Linked DNA regions of Callithrix jacchus. The protein of the gene in region 1 purifies or fractionates together with the protein of each later gene. This does not show direct contact. Links are inferred from orthologs where the notes say so. Each region holds a gene or a part of one and is shown on either strand. Other genes may lie near its edges.

Region 1 (3,745 bases):
TAAATAAATAAATAAAAATTACAAAAGGACATGTGAGTACTTCCATCCTCTTTCTCCATGAAAAACATCATCGGCTGGGCGTGTGGCTCACACCTGCAATTCTAACGCTTTGGGAGGCTGAGGCAGGAAGATCATTTGAGCCCAGGAGTTAAGACCAGCCTAGGAAATATGGCAAAACCTCATCTTTACAAAAAAATACAAAAATTAGCCAGCCATGGTGGCCTGAAATCCCAGCTACTTAGGAGGCCAAAGTGGGAGGACAGCTCAAGCCTGGGAGGCAGAGGTTACAGTGAGCCAAGATCTTGCCACTGAACTCCAGCCTGGACGACAGAGACAGACCCTGTCTCAAAAACAAAAACAGGCTGGGCACAGTAGCTCACATCTATAATCCCAGCAGTTTGGGAGGCCAAGGTAGGTGGATCACTTGAAGTCAGGAATTCCAGACCAGCCTGGTCAACATGGTGAAACCCCTGTCTCTACTAAATATGAAAATTAACCGTGCATGGTGGCGCATGCCTGTAGCCCCAGCTACAGGAGGCTGAGGCAGGAAAATCACTTCAACCTGGGAGGCGGAGGCTGCAGTAAACCAAGATTGGACCACTGTGCTCCAGGCTGAGCGACAGAGAGATACTCTTCAAAAAAAAAAAAAACAAAAAAAACATCCGTTTCTTTCCTTTCATAAATAGCATATATATGCAAATCCATCCATCTATATGTATGTATATGTTCTATTATACCCTTTGCATATTAAATGGTAAAAGAAACACTTATTGTTTATGTGGTATCAAAATTATTTAACGATGCCAATTGAAAAAACACAAATACTTCTTGTTAAAAAATAGTCCAAGGGGCCGGGAGTGGTGGCTCAAGCCTGTAATCCCAGCACTTTGGGAGGCCGAGGCGGATGGATTACGAGGTCAAGAGATCAAGACATCCTGGTTAACATGGTGAAACCCCATCTCTACTAAAAATACAAAAAATTAGCTGGGCATGGTGCCTGTAATCCCAGCTACTCAGGAGGCTGAGGCAAGAGAATTGCCTGAACCCAGGAGGCAGAGGTTGTGGTGAGCCGAGATCGTGCCATTGCACTCCAGCCTGGGTAACAAGAGCAAAACTCCATCTCAAAAAAAAAAAAAGTACAAAGTTGGCCAGGGTTGGTGGCTCACACCTATAATCTCAGTACCTTGGAAGGCTGAGGCAGGCAGATCACCTGAGGTCAGGACCAGCCTGTCCAACATGGAGAAACCCCATCTCTACTTAAAACACAAAATTAGCCAGGCATGGTAGCGTGTGCCTGTAATCCCAGCTACTCAGGAGGCTGAGGCAGGAGAATTGCCTGAACCCAGGAGGCGGAGGTTGCGGTGAGCCGAGATCGTACCATTGCACTCCAGCATGGGTAACAAGAGCGAAACTCCGTCTCAAAAAAAAAAAAGACTTCCTGGAACACTAAACATTAATTCAAATCAAGATCACAAGAGGTCCAGGAGAGGTGGCACACACCTGCAATCCCAGCACTTTGGGCGGCCAAGGCGAGTAGATCACCTGAGGTCAGAAGTTCGAGACCAGTCTGCCTGACATAGTGAAACTCTGTCTCACTAAAAAACAATAATAATAATACAAAAAATTAGCCAGGCATGGTGGCTCACACCTGTAATCCTAGCACTTTGGGGGAGGCTGAGGCAGGTGGATCACCTGAGGTCAGGAGTTCAAGACCAGCCTGGCCAACATGGTGAAACCTTGTCTCTATTAGAAATACAAAAATTAGCCGGGCATGGTGGTGAGTGCCTGTAATCCCAGCTACTAGGAGGGCTGAGACAGGAGAATCATTTGAACCTGGGAGGCTGAGGTTGCAGTGAGCCTAGATCGTGACACTGCACTCCATCCTGGGCGACAAGAGCAAAACTCCAACTCAAAAAAAAAAGAAATCACAATAAATACAGACCCATGCACCCTTTGCTTTTTTAATTCACAAAACCATTTTGCTTCCAGTCCTTAATTACTAACCTGGAGCTTAGTCAGCATGCCAGGGCTCTCTGATGGAGGTCCAGGAATCACCTCTGGCTCTTCTTCCACCTCCTCAAAACGGGGTATTCGTCGCTTCTTTACTCCTGATGATTCCTTAGAGATCTCAGAGTCATCACCAAACACCTCCTAAGGGAACCCAAGATGAAAGAAAAGCTGTATCCCTCCTCACAGGGAGAAGGAAAGAATTATCCTAGCCCCTACCAGCATTTTCTGGCTTCTCCCAGGGGAATATGACACAACCTTGCAAATAGCTATCTGCCAGAAGCAGGGTCTACTAGACTCTCCACCAAGTGGACCATCTCACCCAACTTCAACATTCTCCTAATCCAGTCAAACAAATTTCATTCCCATGTTCTTACAAATGTTCCCATCTCAAGGTCTTTGCAAATGCTACTGCCCACATTTATAATGTCTCTCAACTTTTCCACAACCCCTGTTCCAAATCCTGCCTAAAACTCACCTCCTCTAAGAAGTTTTCCTCATTATAAGCTCACCCCACTCTGATCAAACTTTTGTTTCACATTGTCTTAGCACCTAAGAGCTTGGTTCATATTAGGTTAAATTACATTGTTGATATTTTGTTTGCCAAGTGTTAAGTATTTCAATGTTAGTATAGTTTTCCCAACTAAGTCTAAGCTCTTCCAGGAAAGGGGCTTTCTCTTTCTTCTTCAGTAATCCCCATTAACACCTTGTTTTCATCAAACAATGGGAACTCAAATATGATGACTAATTTGCAAGGTGAATTTAACAGGACCGAGAGTGGCCAACTGGAAGGGACAATGGGAAAAAGCAAATGTACACACCGGTGGTAGGCTTTGGGTGACATCCCCTCTTCACTAGGAGGGCTCGTGTTTTGCAAGGACATATCCTCAGCCAGGGGCGAGCGCTTCCTGGAACTCCTACAGTTCAAGAAAAAGGACTCTCCCATAATATATTGTGTGGGGTGGGGACTTGAATGGACCAAAAATGGGACCCGTATCCCAAGGCTATCTAGATACCTCCTTCAAGAAACCATTTTTATTAATCCCACCCAATGTAGTCACTTCACTCACAGTATGCCCTCAGCACTCATACAGAAGTATGCCCTACTGGCTTGGCACAGTGGCTCACACCTGTAAATCCCAGGACTTTGGGAGGCCAAGGCAGGCAGATCACAAGGTCAGGAGTTCGATGTCCCAGCCCTTTGGGAGGCCAAGGCAGGCGGATCACCTGAGGTTGGGAGTTCAAGACCAGCCTGACCAACATGGAGAAACCCCGTCTCTACTAAAAATACAAAAATTAGCCAGGCATGGTGATTCATCCCTGTAATCCCAGCTACTCCAGAGGCTGAGGCAGGAGAATTGCTTGAACCTTGAAGGTGGAGGCTGCAGTGAGCCAAGATCACGCCATTGCACTCCAGCCTGGGCAACAAGAGTAAAACTCCGTCTCCAAAAGAAAAAAAAAAAAAGTTTGAGACCAGCCTGATCAACATGGTAAACCCCGTCTCTACTAAAGATATAAAAATTAGCCAAGCATGGTGGCACGTGCCTGTAATCCCAGCTATTTAGGAGGTTGAGGCAGGAGAATTGCTTAAAGCTGGGTGGTGGAGGTTGCAGTGAGTCGAGATTACGCCGCTGCACTCCAGCCTGGGTGACAGAGCAAGACTTCATCTCAAAAAGAAAAAGAAAGTATGCCCTATTGTGACATAATCATCACTGTATATATCTGTGTATACTATGGA
Region 2 (4,063 bases), on another chromosome or scaffold:
GCTGTGGAGAAGACCTCTGGCTTCCGGCCATCAGCACAGCGAAGGCCCTAATACACAACTAAAGGCTTTTATTGGAAAAGGGAAATTGACTGAAAAATGGCCTCCAATTTCCTCACTGCCTGAGACACTTGGGGGTCTCCTCCACAAAGTCCAGGAAAGAAGGGCCCACCAAACTGGGCCCCCAGCAGGCTCAGGTATAGAGGTCAAAGTCAATGCGTTTGGAGTTGTAGAACTGACCACCAGGGGGGTCCAACTTCCGGCAATAAACACCGTCCGGGAAGTAGCCTTCGCTCACCCAGGTCTGCAAGGAGAGGGCAGAGCTGGGGAAGGACTGACAGGAGTTGGGGAAGCAGGGACAAGGCAGAAGGAGGAAGAAAGCGGCTCACCTGCATCTGGGCGCTGGTGAAGGGTCCATACAGCTCGGCATCCCCTGTGTTCTCCCACTTATATTCCCACATCACATCCACCAGACCATCTCCCGGCGACTCTGCTTCTAAAATAACAGGCAAAGCCATTTGGCCTCCAGTGTCTGCCTCCTGCCCAGTGCCTCCTCCTGTGTCCTCCAAGCTCACCTCCTTTCTGGGTAGGGGTTGGGGTCTCCAGTTCCCCCTCCGCCACTTCCTCAGCAAACATGTCCAGGGAGGGTGGGGGTGTGGGATTGTGGGGTCCCAGGGTCTGGCACCCCAAACCCTTCAGCCTCATGGCCAACCGTTCCCGAGTTTCCTGGTACACGCCAAGGTTGCCCCGGGCCACCATCTGGTCGGCCAACCCAGAGAGCCGGTCCAGGCGCTGTGGGGAATTGGGTCGTCCGGGCCCCTTGCTGCTCCCTTTGCCTCCTCCTCGGGCCCCCAGACGCCTCAGTGCCCCAGCCACTGTTTCTCTAGGCAACAGGAGCTCCAAAAGTCCCTCCAAGAGAGCTTGGGCACTCATTGGGGTCTGGCCCAAGCCATCCTCCTCCTCCGAGTCTGAGGTCTGGCGCTGGCCAGGTGGCCGCTCCCGGATCTTCACCTGTAATGGGAAGAAGGGGAGTGATTTCCCACAAACTGCCACGGGAGCAGGCAGCAGCTCTGCCACTCCCTGGCCCCAGCCATGCCAGCCCCTTGGCCACACCCAGTCAATGTTGTCCAGCCAGCTGTCTCGGATCTGAGCATCCCGGTTCAGGAAGTAGTTGCCATCGGCATCGAAATGGCCTTCCTCCATCTCCTCCTGCAGGTTAAAAGGTGTGATCCGCACACCCCCCTCGCTGGGGAGTGTGGCTGCCTCCTGACCTGCACCAAAGACAGGGGTGTCCTTTGCTGGGGATGAAAAAAAAGAGACCGGGGCCTCCCTCACCTCACACCACCAGAGGTCTCTACTTTTTCCTTCAGTAGAGTGTATTCTTGAGTACAGCTCACCTTCTACATCCTCTGAGGACAAGATGTCATATTTGCTGGACCCCCCATCGTCATCATCCTCCTCATCGCTGTCCAAAGAGTGTTTGCCTTTGAAGCGGCTCCCAGGACCCCCTGACCCAGCCACAGGGTCCACCAGCTGTGAGCAGGAGCCAGGAAGTCAAGAAATGCAGGTTACTGGCTACCTCCCCAAATACTGCCAGATCTGGACCCAAATACTCCCCAAATATTTCAGGATCTCAACTGCTTCCCTAGATATTTCTTTTTTTTTTTTTCTTTGAGACAGAGTTCACTCTTGTTGCCCAAGCTGGAGTGCAATGGCTGATCTCAGCTCACTGCAACCTCCGGCTCCTGTGTTCAAGGGATTCCCCCACATCAGCCTCCCAACTAATTGGGACAGGTGCCCACCACCACCCGGCTAATTTTTAGTACTTTTAGTAGAAATGGGGTTTCACCAGGTTAGCCAGGCTGGTCTTCAACTCCCGACCTCAGGTGATCTGCCTGCCTTGGCCTTCCAAAGTGCTGGGATTACAAGCGTGGGCCACCGTGCCCAGCCCTACTTCCCCAAATATTTCAGGACCCACACTGAAGATGCTCCCAATCCATTCCTCAGTGAACCTGGAAAAACTAGGCTTTTCTCTGCCAGCCCGCCTTGCCCCTCCCAACTTTCTTCCTCCTCAGGCTTCTAGCTCCTCTCTTTCCCCCCACACAAAGAAGTTTGGTCCCCTCACCTTCTTCTTGGGGACACTGATATCATCCTCGTCCTCTTCATCTCCCACGCCTTGGAAGGTCACTTTCCTCTTTGGCATGACAGGGCAGAGAAGGTGTTCCTCAAGCTGAGGAAAGTATGCAGAGGAAGAGAACGGGGTGAGGAGGGGACTCGCCGCCAGAGGATTCCCGGCACAGCAAACATTTTTCTTGGTGACAAGTACAGTTTGAGAGGGAAGGGAGCACAAAAGCAGGGGCGGAAAGGGAGCTGGAAGCCAGAAGGCCTCTGGTACTCGGTCTGGCATCCTCGAATTAAATGGGGCGGGGACGGAGGGGCAATCCCTCTGGATCCCCCGACCCCGGCCAAAAGGAGACAGGCTCCACCATGTGACCACCTCCAAACCCAGCCCCCGCAGTCTGGGTACCACCAGGCTCGACGGGCTGACCCCCGCCTCCTACCCAGGCTCTCTCGGAGCTCGCGGGGCCCGGGCGGACCCAGGACCTGGCGCCCTCGCCGCCCCGTTCCTCCCTGCTCCGAACTCCCAATTCCGTGTGGTGAGCTCCACCTGTCCCGGGCTGCGTACAAAGTAGAGGGCCACGGGGATTCGGATGGTCCCACGCTCGCGCGCTCACCTGGGGATCCGCTGGAGGTGAGGCGGCAAAGAAGAGATGCTTGCGCCAGGGCTACATCCGGGGCACCCGGCCGCCATCACCCGGAAGAGGACTGAGGAATGCGCCGGGGAGGCCGGAAGTGGCTTCACTCCGGCCAGAGGACCAACTGGAAGAGCGGGCGGAAGTACGCGATGAGCGAGGGAAGACACCTCCACCCTTTCTTACGCCAGAAGTGACGTCAGTCGCGTGGGAGGAAAGTGGCGAAAAGAGGAGACTTAAGAATTCCTAGACTCTAACCCGGCGTGAGAAATGGCCGGAAGTAGCTTTGATTCTCTCATTGAGCCGTAGAGGCTCTGGAGAAAAAGTGGAGCGCATCTACTTAAAGGGTCGCTCAGTGTCAGGATTTAGGAGCAAAGTCTGAGCAGAGCCACTGGATTGCTTTCTTGTCTTCCTGTCCTGGGTTCGAGTAACCCTTCCCCCAGGGAAGGGTTCTGCGCCCCTACCGTGTCGCTAGAAATCCTGCCTTCGGCCGGGCGCCGTGGCTCACGCCTGTAATCCCAGCACTTTGGGAGGCCGAGGCGGGTGGATCACGAGGTCAAGAGATCGAGACCATCCTGGTCAACATGGTGAAACCCCGTCTCTACTAAAAATACACAAAAAATTAGCTGGGCATGGTGGTGCGCGGCTGTAGTCCCAGCTACTCGGGAGGCTGAGGCGGGAGAATTGCTTGAACCCAGGAGGCGGAGGTTGCGGTGAGCCAAGATCGCGCCACTGCACTCCAGCCTGGGTAACAAGAGCGAAACTCCGTCTCAAAAGAAAAAAGAAAAGAAAAGAAACCTCGTCTCTCCTAAACTACAAAAAAATTAGCCGGGCGTGGCGGCATACGCCTCTAGTCCCAGCTACTCGGGAGGCTGAGGCAGGAGAATTGCAAGCACCCGGGAGGCGGAGGTTGCATGCGGTGAGCCGAGATTGCGCCACTGCACTCCAGCCTGGGCAACCTCAAAAAAAAAAAAAAAAGGAATCCTGCTTTCGGGCTGGGCACGGTGGCACACGCCTGTGATCCTAGCGCTTTGAGAGGCCGAGGCGGGTGGATTGCCTGAGCTCAGGAGTTCAAGACCAGCCTGGGGAATACGGTGAAACCCGTCTCTACTAAAAATACAAAAATTTAGCCGGACATGGCGGCATGAGCCTGTAATCCCAGCTACTCGGGAGGCTAAGACAGGAGAATTGCTTGAACCCGGAAGGCGGAGGTTGCAGTGAGCTGAGATCGCGTCATTGCACTCCAGCCTGGGCGACAAAGTGAGACTCGTCTCAAAAAAAAAAAAGAAAGAAATCATGTCTTCCCACTCCTG

What was found. Proteins that work in one complex are often made in the same cells at the same time.
Region 2: the proteins of PRPF3 (region 1) and CD2BP2 purify together in Homo sapiens (affinity purification with mass spectrometry; 3 studies listed by BioGRID and IntAct, with this or other methods). This does not show direct contact. The link is inferred for Callithrix jacchus from reciprocal best matches to the Homo sapiens genes PRPF3 and CD2BP2.

What each region holds. Positions count from the first base shown.
Region 1 is NC_133519.1:10,253,469-10,257,213, reverse strand, and holds part of PRPF3 (U4/U6 small nuclear ribonucleoprotein Prp3), read right to left. Parts: intron 2,152-3,745; coding exon 2,005-2,151; intron 1-2,004. UniProt on the Homo sapiens protein: Plays a role in pre-mRNA splicing as component of the U4/U6-U5 tri-snRNP complex that is involved in spliceosome assembly, and as component of the precatalytic spliceosome (spliceosome B complex).
Region 2 is NC_133513.1:29,873,078-29,877,140, forward strand, and holds the start of CD2BP2 (CD2 antigen cytoplasmic tail-binding protein 2), read right to left. Parts: upstream 2,801-4,063; 5' UTR 2,666-2,800; exon of another isoform or gene 2,559-2,665; intron 2,228-2,558; 5' UTR 2,201-2,227; coding exon 2,123-2,200; intron 1,531-2,122; coding exon 1,395-1,530; intron 1,269-1,394; coding exon 1,111-1,268; intron 1,009-1,110; coding exon 573-1,008; intron 494-572; coding exon 387-493; intron 302-386; coding exon 191-301; 3' UTR 1-190. UniProt on the Homo sapiens protein: Involved in pre-mRNA splicing as component of the U5 snRNP complex that is involved in spliceosome assembly.